Drosophila melanogaster: one gene and its partner. The protein of the gene in region 1 interacts with the protein of each later gene in a pairwise test. Each region holds a gene or a part of one and is shown in the gene's direction. Other genes may lie near its edges.

The links.
Region 2: the proteins of comt (region 1) and Nrx-1 interact in a two-hybrid assay, tested with the Drosophila melanogaster proteins (one study listed by BioGRID).

What each region holds. Positions count from the first base shown.
Region 1 is NC_004354.4:13,257,347-13,263,290, forward strand, and holds comt (comatose), read left to right. Parts: upstream 1-1,674; 5' UTR 1,675-1,899; coding exon 1,900-1,908; intron 1,909-1,989; coding exon 1,990-2,078; intron 2,079-2,156; coding exon 2,157-2,375; intron 2,376-2,448; coding exon 2,449-4,077; intron 4,078-4,158; coding exon 4,159-4,317; intron 4,318-4,385; coding exon 4,386-4,518; 3' UTR 4,519-5,142; downstream 5,143-5,944. Other genes in the region: CG15742 (uncharacterized protein), read right to left, coding at 278-889. UniProt on the Drosophila melanogaster protein: Required for vesicle-mediated transport. Catalyzes the fusion of transport vesicles within the Golgi cisternae. Is also required for transport from the endoplasmic reticulum to the Golgi stack.
Region 2 is NT_033777.3:22,467,340-22,472,562, forward strand, and holds the start of Nrx-1 (neurexin 1), read left to right. Parts: upstream 1-2,138; 5' UTR 2,139-3,145; coding exon 3,146-4,051; intron 4,052-4,179; coding exon 4,180-4,656; intron 4,657-4,721; coding exon 4,722-5,033; intron 5,034-5,097; coding exon 5,098-5,214; intron 5,215-5,223. Other genes in the region: CG5377 (uncharacterized protein), read right to left, coding at 1-643. UniProt on the Drosophila melanogaster protein: Neuronal cell adhesion protein involved in synapse formation, development of synaptic active zones, synaptic regulation and visual function. Plays a role in cell adhesion between the pre- and the postsynaptic cell.

The sequences.
Region 1 (5,944 bases):
GTTTGCAATTCGGGCAGCGCGGAGGTAAGTCAAAGTTTGTGTTTTGTTGTTGATATGTTATTTATTAATCTCGACATGCGTTGCACTCGATTAATTTAAAGTTAATATAGAAGTCATACGACATCAGAATCACTATGACAGTAGAACGTCTCAGTCCAGGTAGATGCTATCCAAAGAAATGTATATATATCCAAAAGCAAGGTAAAATATCACAGCAGCATCTTTAGTGACCATATTGATATACAAACAAATTCGACCAAATTCTAATTTGCTGACCTTAGCCGAAACGCCAAGTGCGCATATGGTTGATAACTTGATAACTTTTCGAAATGCGCATGCGGGCATCTATTGCAGGAGGATATGGGAGTGAAATGTCCCGAGCTAAACGGCGCTCCAACTGCTCATTGCGGCCGTTGAGCAAATTCTGCCATATCTGGGCCCGCTTATCCAACTGTTGAGCCTGCACGGCTATCCGTCCATAGGAAACGGGCTCATACGCCAGCTTCAGTTGATCGAGCAGATTGGTGAGCTCTTCAATGGCCTGCTGCAGTTTTCTCATGGCACTGTCATGCATGATGAACGTCTCATCGGCTTTGCTGCCGTATTGACATATATATTTCATCCTGACCCAATTGGACGACGCGATACAATTCTTGCGGCGCAATATTTGCATCTTTAGCATGTCCATAAGTATTTCGGCCAGATCGATGGGTGGCAACTCGGCGGGTATCACCAAGCGGATGGCAAAATAATTGGGCCTACTGTACTTGTCCAGGAAGGTGCTAATCACGCCGTCTTGGGCATTACGCACCGAGCGATAGGGCGGCTTAATGCCGCGAACTGCGCCCAGCAAGCAGTGGTCGATCTTATTGCATCGAACTTTTGACATCGAACCGCGGTTTGTCGTGTAAAAAGCGTGTTAGAAATGTGTTTTATTATACAAGTAAGCTGCAATGGCCGTGTTTGTTATCTAGAAACTTTCTCGGAATGGTAACATACGTGTGTACAGAAAGTTAGCGATTGGCATCGTCACTCACCGTCGTAGTACTGGTAAATTGATTTTGCTTCGTCGAACAGCCCGGCAGAAAAATTTTAAAAAATTATAAAATTTTGCTGTGTAAAAGTAAGAACGAGAACAAAATTTTGTTGTGCTCCCAAAAAAGTAAAAGTACTTAATTATCCGAATCAGGTAGCTACACTTAACTCAATGACTACTGGACGCTTAAATACGTAAACTTTCGTCTCTAAATTTCCTCGCACACTAGATTTGAATTTTCGTTCAGTCGGATATTATCGATAAATCGATTATTGTGGACCACGAATTTTCTGGTATAAATGCGGTAGCAATTTAAGACTTCTCTTACCGGAAAATCTTAAAAAATTAAATGATTACATTTTTTGTTAGTAAAAGCCCGGCGAGAATTTATTAATATTTATACATATACAACTTTTATATTAAAGAGCTCTCGAGCACTCTACCAATTTAAAAAATCAACCGCTTGCTTTATAAATTTAATTATTATTATTAAAAAAAAAAATCATGCAAATACGAGTCGTTAGTTATTAAACTTGGCAAAAGAAACGTATATTTAAAAACCAAATCCCATATGGATGTACTAACAAGTTCGCCAGCCCTGGATTCCTAGGCGCATGTGCTGAATAAAATTTTAGATCACATCTTCCTTGAAAGTTCAGAAAGGATATAGTTCACAATTCGTTCAAAAATTAATATATATATATATAGTTATGCTGTTTCAGTGATACTGTAAACAAATATCAAACGTTAATTCGCACACAAAGCTGCGTTTTCTGACCATTAAAGTACTTCCATTGGATTATAATTATTGATTTTTGTCAAATTCTAAACAACCCCGTGAAAATCAGCAAGAATCTAAAGAAATGGCTTATGTGAGTTTGAAATACCAATATTTATAGGCACTACGGCACTATTTTTGACTAGTTACTAAAGATTTATAATGGTTTCCGTAGATTTTGAAGGCCACCAAATGTCCCACGGACGAGCTTTCGCTGACCAATCGGGCTATAGTGAATGTTGGTGATTTTCCGGAGGAAATCAAGTATGTGGTCCTAACGGGCATAAAAGTCCATTGTTTGTATATATATATATATATAATTCCCACTTGCATCGCTTGCAGATATGCGGACATATCGCCGGCTCCGGGTCAGCACTTCATCTTTGCGCTGGAGAAAACGGTGGAGGTGCCCAGCGGCTATGTTGGCTTCTCCCTGGTCCAACGAAAGTGGGCCATGGTGTCCATTAATCAGGAACTGGAGGTTCGTCCCTATCGCTTTGATGCCAGCTCGGATGTCATCACTTGTGTGTCCTTTGAGACGGACTTTCTGCAGAAGAAGACGTGAGTGCATATATATAGTATACGGCGTCAAGGATATTATGTAATATCGATTGTTATCTACCATCCTATGCAGTGTCTCCCAGGAACCCTATGACTCCGATCAAATGGCCAAGGAGTTCATCATGCAATTCGCCGGAATGGCACTCACCGTTGGCCAATCACTGGTCTTCAATTTCAAGGACAAGAAACTTCTCGGCCTGGCCGTCAAATCCCTAGAGGCCATCGATCCCAAGAGCTTGGGCGAGGGCAAGGACACCGCGATGCGTAATGTCCGCTTCGGCCGCATCCTTGGCAACACCGTGGTGCAGTTCGAGAAGGCCGAGAACAGTTCGCTGAATCTGCAGGGCAAGAGCAAGGGCAAGGTGGTCCGCCAGTCCATTATAAACCCGGATTGGGACTTTGGCAAAATGGGCATCGGTGGCCTGGACAAGGAATTCAATTCGATATTTCGACGAGCCTTCGCATCCCGTGTCTTCCCACCGGAACTGGTCGAGCAGCTGGGCTGCAAGCATGTCAAGGGCATTCTACTTTATGGTCCACCGGGTACGGGCAAAACTCTGATGGCTCGCCAAATCGGAACTATGTTAAACGCCCGGGAGCCGAAAATCGTCAACGGTCCACAGATCCTGGACAAGTACGTGGGCGAATCGGAGGCCAATGTCCGGCGTCTGTTTGCCGAGGCGGAGGAGGAGGAGAAACGCCTGGGTCCCAACAGTGGACTACATATCATCATCTTCGACGAGATCGATGCCATTTGCAAGCAGCGTGGCTCCGTGGCCGGAAATAGTGGTGTCCACGACACCGTCGTCAATCAGTTGCTAACCAAAATCGATGGCGTTGATCAGCTGAACAACATTCTCGTTATCGGCATGACCAATCGCAGGGACATGATCGATGAGGCTTTGCTGCGACCGGGTCGCCTCGAGGTCCAAATGGAGATCAGCCTGCCCAACGAGCAGGGTCGCGTCCAGATTCTCAATATCCACACCAAGCGGATGCGTGAATTCAACAAGATTAACGACGATGTGGACAACAAGGAGATCGCTGCGCTGACCAAGAATTTCAGCGGTGCCGAGCTGGAGGGTTTGGTCCGTGCCGCCCAGTCGAGTGCCATGAACCGACTGATCAAGGCCGATGCCAAGGTGACCGTTGATCCTGAGGCCATGGAAAAGTTAAAGGTCAATCGAGATGATTTCCTGCACTCGCTGGAGCATGACATTAAGCCGGCATTCGGTACGGCCCAGGAGATTCTCGACAATATGCTGGCCCGCGGTGTTATCAACTGGGGAGCACCGGTTAGCAATCTCCTCGAGGACGGCATGCTGTATGTGCAGCAGGCCAAGGCTCCAGAATCTAGCGGCTTGGTCTCCGTACTCGTGGCCGGAGCACCCAACTCTGGCAAGACGGCACTGGCCGCTCAGCTTGCCAAGATGTCAGACTTTCCGTTCGTGAAGGTCTGCTCGCCAGAGGACATGGTCGGCTACACTGAATCGGCCAAGTGCCTGCACATTCGTAAGATCTTCGACGACGCGTATCGTTCCATGCTTAGCTGCATTGTGGTGGACAATGTGGAGCGTCTGCTGGACTACGGATCGATTGGGCCGCGATATTCCAATATGACGCTACAGGCACTGCTGGTGCTGCTCAAGAAACAGCCGCCAAAGGGCCGCAAATTGCTCATATTGTGCACATCTAGCAGGAGGTGTGTGTGTGTTGAGATTCGGGATTTCCCTGTCGAGATTACCCAGTACTTACTACTCCTACTTGTTTTATTTTTTTTTAGGGAGGTCCTGGAAGAGATGGAGATGCTGACGGCCTTCACCTCGGTGCTCCACGTGCCCAATCTTTCCAAGCCCGACCACGTTCTGGCCGTGCTGGAGAACACGGATATCTTTAGCAAGGGCGAAATCCAGGCGATTGGCAAGAAGATGGCCGGAAAACGGTAAGCTATATGATTCCAAAGAAAAAGTCCTATAAATATTTACTAATTTACCTATCCATTTCGACCAGCGTGTTTATTGGCATCAAGAAGCTGCTGGGTCTCATTGACATGGCTAGGCAAACGGAGCAATCACAGCGGGCCATAAAGTTCCTGTCCAAGATGGAAGAGGAGGGTGGTCTCGACATGGTGGCGCGGCAGTAAGGCATCTTAAACTGCATGTGCCCAAATGGAGTCTCAATTATTAGCTTCTAAGTGCTAAGGACGGGCGATGAATAGCGATGAAACCAAATCAGAATCTCAATGTACACGTACATATACACCGCTAAACATATACACAGATATATAGAGTTATATATATATATACGATCCAGGCTTCGCGATGTTTGTTCGGTCCCAAAGCCCAGATAAAAATCACAATCCACATCCCGGAGGAGTTTCGTGTGCTTCTGAGTTCCCCCACAGAGCTCAATCAAATCAGACAGATATGTGAGACCCGTGACCTGAAGATGATGGCATATAAATGACATAATATATGGCTTAAATGGACAGATACTCAATTACATTTATAAATAATTAACACGCGTAGCCACTAACTCGTTAAAGGCATGATAATCTTTCTCGTTACCTTTTAATTTTAGGACTTTTGCTTCAGTAAATTCTCAATAGGAAACGAAAAAACGGGAGAAAACACCAAAGTATTTGCCTTTGGGCATTGTGAACGTTGTTTATCGGTAACTAAACTAATTAAATATTTATTAAATCAAATATTGTTAACCGCCAATGTTATAATTATATCTTGAATAAAGTAAAACAAACTTAAATTCCAATTTTAACTAGCTCGCTTTTTTGCAGTTAAAAAAAAAGAAATATTTTTTAAAGTCGGGAGTATTCTTATTCATGTTTAAAAACCTAGTAATCCCATTCAGCTTGCAACCACAGATTACCATTCTGTATAAATTACTTTGAATTCTGAATTCAAATGAAACAGCAATGAAAATAGAACAAACACATTTTGAAAATTCTCTTGACGATTTCTTTGTTTTATTTCGTTTAGAAAAAGCGACACACAATATTACTCTTAATTGTTTCTTGTTTCTCGTTCCTTGGACTTATTTGTGCAACAATAAACAAAATATAAATATTTGATTTCGTTTTTATTTTGCTAAAACCGTTATTTAACTATTTCTCAGCTTACGGAATTATTCATTATTTTTTCCTTTTTTTTGCAGTGCGCAACAATAATATTTCATCTTGTTAGTAGAATCCTCTTCATAATTCGTGTTTTGGTAAAAAAAAAACAAATTCAGGAAAGATAAAAAAAGGTAAGGTAAGGGGAGATCGCCAATTTGCCAAATTATAAATAGAAAATTAAAATAAAAGCACAGATTTAACACAGAGCGTATTGTAACGCTTTTGGAACCCAAGAAAAATTCGTATATATATATTCCTAAGTAACAGCAATTACGTGGCTTGCATACGAAACAGCTTATGTTCAAAAGTATGTTTTTCAAAAAATCTGCTGTATTGAAAAGAGAAAACAGGTGAATAATAAGAAAATAAAAATGGCAAGGGCATATGCTTCGCTTAGATTAATAGTTACATTTGTGATTTCATTTTTTTTTAAGGA
Region 2 (5,223 bases), on another chromosome or scaffold:
TCTCAACTTCGGTGCGACAGAAGTCTCCATCCCGTTGGTCATAGAAGGCGCATGCGGCGTCCACCCATTCGGCCCACAATTGGGGGAATCTTTCGACGCCGTAAACCTTTTCCATGGGCTCACGCATGCGCGGCGACCACTTGGCCACATCCCGAATGTTCTTAAGAGCCTTGACTTCGTCAGCGTTCAAGTAGGCACCTGCTCCCCAGATTGCTAGGCGATCCACAGCTTCCGCATGGCGACCTGCGACTATGAGCGCCGTGATGCCCCCATCGCTCCAGCCCAAAATGGAGAAGCGTGGTCTGTCCAGGGCACGCATCAAATCCACGGCTGCCTGGGCATCCTCCCGAAAGAATTCAAGGCCGAACTTGCGCTGCGGCGGCACTGATTTGCCATAACCCGGCGGATCCCAGGCGATGATGGTGTGACCCGGCAGCAGTTTCGGCAGCTGCTCGATCTGGGGCCTAAAGTCGGTCCACGAGGAACCCAGTGCTCCCGGCATCAGGAGTAGACTCCGCTCCCCACTGCCGCTCTCCACAATGTTCAAATCTGAGCCATTCACACGAACTTTCCGCTCCGTGTGCAGCAAGCGCCTGGTGATCGGGGAACGGGCACCCACAAGCCGGCACAGATTGCCCAGCATTACGTAAGCGGGATCTAACGGGGATTTTGGAGTATGGCAACAAACTTAGCTGCTTCTCAAGGGCTCTTCAGATGTCCAGAGAGGAATATTTGGCAAATTCTAATCTTTACACACGACGCCTTGTAAAGTGCACTTGATAAAGATCCGTTGATAACAGCTGATTGATAAGAACAGCTGTAAGTAAACGATCGAATTAGTGTGGCTGTAGGTGCGATGATGCCATATACCGTTAAATCAAAAGTAAATATACCAAAAAACTAATTTTAAAAGAATCGTTAATTTTTTAATAATTTGAAAAATATTTTCATATTGATATTTAGGCATTGGGTGATGCACTTGCATTTTTAAGAATGTTCCTGAAATTTAAAAGATTTTTCCATTCATTTTGAAGAATATTACTTGACAATGCCGAACTCTCCACAGATTTTAAAATAATGGTAGTTTAAAAGCCCTTGAAAGTTCAAGAGCTGCCGCTCAGTTTGATTTTAAGCTTTTCGCTCTTCCCCCAGCTTTTGGCATTCCCAATCTTAGTCCTTGTTAGTCCACTTGAACGTCACGACTCCGAAGGACAATGGACAGCACGTGCTGGCATTTGTTTAGCCTTTAGCGTGCGTTAAAATATTATTAAAAACCGTAAGTGCTTAATAGCAGGATCCTGGTCCCTGCTGTAATGGTCAGTGCGTGATTCGTGTGCTCAAATTAATGTGTTCGCCTGGACTGCGACGACGATTAATGGAGGCGACGGCCTTGCAATTGCTCTCCTAGGACGAAGGAGCAGGGTGATGGGATTTGACAGAGGCAGGACATACACCCACAATCGAGAGTAAGGGACATCACATTCCACTGCCAATGCAAATGCAAATCGAATTCGACTCCGAGATGTCGAAGTTGCGTAGTAAATGTCAAGGAATTTACACGGGTCGTCTCGGAGATAGTGAGCCCGGGGGGGTGTCAGCTTGAGTTGGTGTGTGTGAGTGTGCGTGCGGCCACAGGACACCCACGCACACAGCTGAACATGCATATGTGTGTATCCATGTGAATGTGGCATCTAATACGCTTTAGTGGTGCAGGTTATGAACCTGCGTGCTATTCGCTTATTACGCATGTGTGAGTGGGCAGCTGGTGTCTATGTGTGCGTTTGTGTGTTAGTAGTACACATATGCATGCCTCGTGCGAAGTAAGCGAGCTTTTAATTTTTGGCATTCCCACACACTACACTCAAAGCGTGCGGTGCTTTCCTTTTCCGTAGCACACTTTTTCGGGTAAATCAACAAAGTACCAATATAAACCATTAAATTCAAGATTTCCAGTAATTCTGAACGATTTTAACTTGTCTAAATGTAAAATCAGTAGTGTGAGGTACAAACTCCTTTGTCCAGTTCGATTGTAGTGCCATTTTCGAGTCGCCTAGACCGCACCAGTGGCTTTTTGTGAATAAGCTGGCGGAGCTTTCGTTATCCATTGGAAACAGTGCGAAGAAATTAAGTTTGAAATTGCAGTTCAGTCTTGTCGTGGATGCAGCGCGGATCGATATCGGAGCTAAAAGCAGCGGAAGGCGCTGCTAAGCAAATTTCGACACACAACATTTTTGTATCCCTCGAAATTGAACCGAAAAATCTGCAAAAATAAATTCAACCAACCAACAAAAACGAAAAGGACGCGTCGCGCTAAAATCCAGCCCGAAAAGTTACATAAAGCAGGAGCGACAAGAATATCGTGCAAATTCAAAGGAATAATTGTGTAATTGAAAAATCTGTGTGCAGTCTCTGCAACTAATTTCGTATCCAATCAATAGTTCAATCAATACGCATAAATAACTGATTGCTGTGGAATCAACCGCAGTAAAGCGCCCATTTTAGGGGCACTTGCTGTGAGGTGCTTAGAAAAATTTTCGCCTACATTTGCGATATGCAGTGAAAATTTTTTCCGATTTTTAGTATGTACATGTACGATGGAGCGCTCGTGGGCGCCACAAACTGCGGTGGCAGGGGTATCCGGCGAGCTTTTGGCCCAACCATAACCCCCAGTATTACTAATACAGCCGACTCGGTCGGAGAAACGGTTGTCTGACAAAGTATCGATGCAAAATATGCGCCGTTTTGAATTTAATTGCCAAAAATTATGCAAATCAAGTATACAAAATGCCGAAAACTGAAGGTGCTGAACATTAAGGACCAAAAAAATCAGGCGAAATCATAAGCAATAATCGGTGCAGTGCCGTTAACAGTCGACGTGTACCGTTAACATCCGCAGCCAACTTCGCGTGGCCGAGCTTTCGCTCTCGCGCGCTCTTACGCTCTCTCTTGGCAGGCGCGGATAAAACGGATTGCCGAGTAACACCAACACAAGGACACGCGAAAAGCTCGCGCTCAAGGACTGGAATACGCGACAGAAACACAGCGAGTGAGAGAGAGAGAGAGGGAGAAGGACACTTTACGTTTACGCGCGCAACGTGCGTAGGTGCCTCTGTGTGGGTAAGCCCGAGTGCCACCGTGCGTGTGAATGAAGGCGCCACATAGTGCAACATATCAGGATAACTATGCTGATGCGGCCATGACAGCCAGGACACGGCCAAGCATGGACATGGATCAGCAGCGAAATCGAAATCAGGCGGAGCTGAGGCTCCTGCCCGCCCAGCGCACCTCCACCTCCGCCTTTGAATCCCCCGACTTGCGGTTCAACAAGGCTCGCCGCCGGCGGAGAAGCGAGCAAGTGCCTCCCGTGGTCGTGGAATACCGTCGCTCCTACCGCGTGCTCATCGTCAGCGCCCTGCTGGTCAGTCTGGCGGCCAGTTTCGTGACGCTCAGCGCCGGATTCCAGCTAGATGGATCGCAAAACTCCTTCTACACCTTCCGCAAGTGGTACACCGGACTGAATGGGACCCTCGAACTGGAGTTCAAAACGGAACAGCCCAACGGATTGGTTCTCTACACCGACGACGGCGGCACCTACGACTTCTTCGAACTGAAGCTGGTGGAAGGAGCACTGCGGCTGAGATATAACCTTGGTGGCGGAGCTCAAATCATCACCGTGGGTCGGGAACTGCACGACGGCCACTGGCACAAGGTGCAGGTCCTGCGGAACGATGAGCAGACATCGCTCATCGTGGACGGCGTCTCCCAGCAGCGATCGACCAAGGGGAAGGAGTTCCAGTTCGGCAAGTTCGCGAGCAACTCGGACGTCTATGTGGGCGGTATGCCCAACTGGTACAGCAGCAAGCTGGCCCTGCTCGCCCTGCCATCCGTTATCTTCGAACCGCGTTTCCGTGGCGCCATCCGCAATCTGGTCTACGCGGACCAGCCGGGCGGCTCCACCAGGCGCCAGGAGATCAAGCAGCAGCGCGACATCAAGTGCGGCGATGTGCCCTGCGATCACGGAGAGCTGCCCGCCCGTGAAAGGCCGCTCAGGGTGAGTCCATTAGTCATTGATATACACAATACAACTTTTTATATTCTATTTAAATGATATTGATAATAAGAAAAAAGCCTCTATTTATATGTATCCCTGATTTGGTAAATAATCCTTTAATCCTGCAGGGTGTTCGGGGTGGCAACACAACCGATGCCTGTGAACGGAATGATCCTTGCCAGCACGGCGGCATCTGCATATCCACTGATTCCGGTCCAATTTGCGAGTGTCGAAACCTCGAGTACGATGGCCAGTATTGTGAGAAGGAGAAGGCGCCATCGGAAGCAACGTTCCGCGGTACACAGTTCCTCTCCTACGACTTGGGCCAGACGGGCGCCGAGCCGATAGTGAGCGCCCAGGATGCCATATCCTTCTATTTTCGCACCCGCCAGCCGAACGGTCTGCTTTTCTACACTGGCCACGGCACGGACTATCTAAATCTGGCGCTGCGTGATGGAGGCGTCTCCCTGACCATGGGTCTGGCTAATGGCAAGCAGGAGATGCACATAAAGCCCTCAAAGGTGCGCTTCGACGACCACCAGTGGCACAAAGTCACCGTGCACCGTCGCATTCAGGAGATCTCCTCCATAACCAGCTTCTGTCGGGTGGGTAACTGTTCATAGATTTTCTTGGTTCTTTATTCGAAATGGAGTTTTTTTTATCCCTGTAGCTGGTTACCGTGGTGGATGATGTCTATACGGATCACTCCCACATTGCTGGCAAGTTCACCATGCTCTCCTCCTCGCGGGTTTACGTTGGTGGTGCTGTTAATCCTCGAGCGCTTTTGGGTGCCCGTGTGCACACTAACTTCGTGGGCTGCCTGCGCAAGGTGGAGTTCTCAGCGGATACGCTTAATCTGAACCTCATAGACCTGGCCAAGAGCGGTTCCAAGCTGATCCAGGTTGCTGGCAATCTGGAATATCAGTGCCCCAGTGGCGATCCACAGGATCCCGTGACCTTCACCACTCGCGAATCGCATTTGGTAAGTTGAAACCTGTATGAAAATACGAAAAGTAATGAATTAATATTTGATTGTTATTTTAAAGGTCCTTCCTCCCTGGGAAACTGGCAAGCAGAGTTCTATAAGCTTCAAATTTCGCACCAAAGAACCGAATGGCATCATTGTCCTGGCCACAGGATCCAAGCAACCACGGGCCAAAAACGTGAGTCTA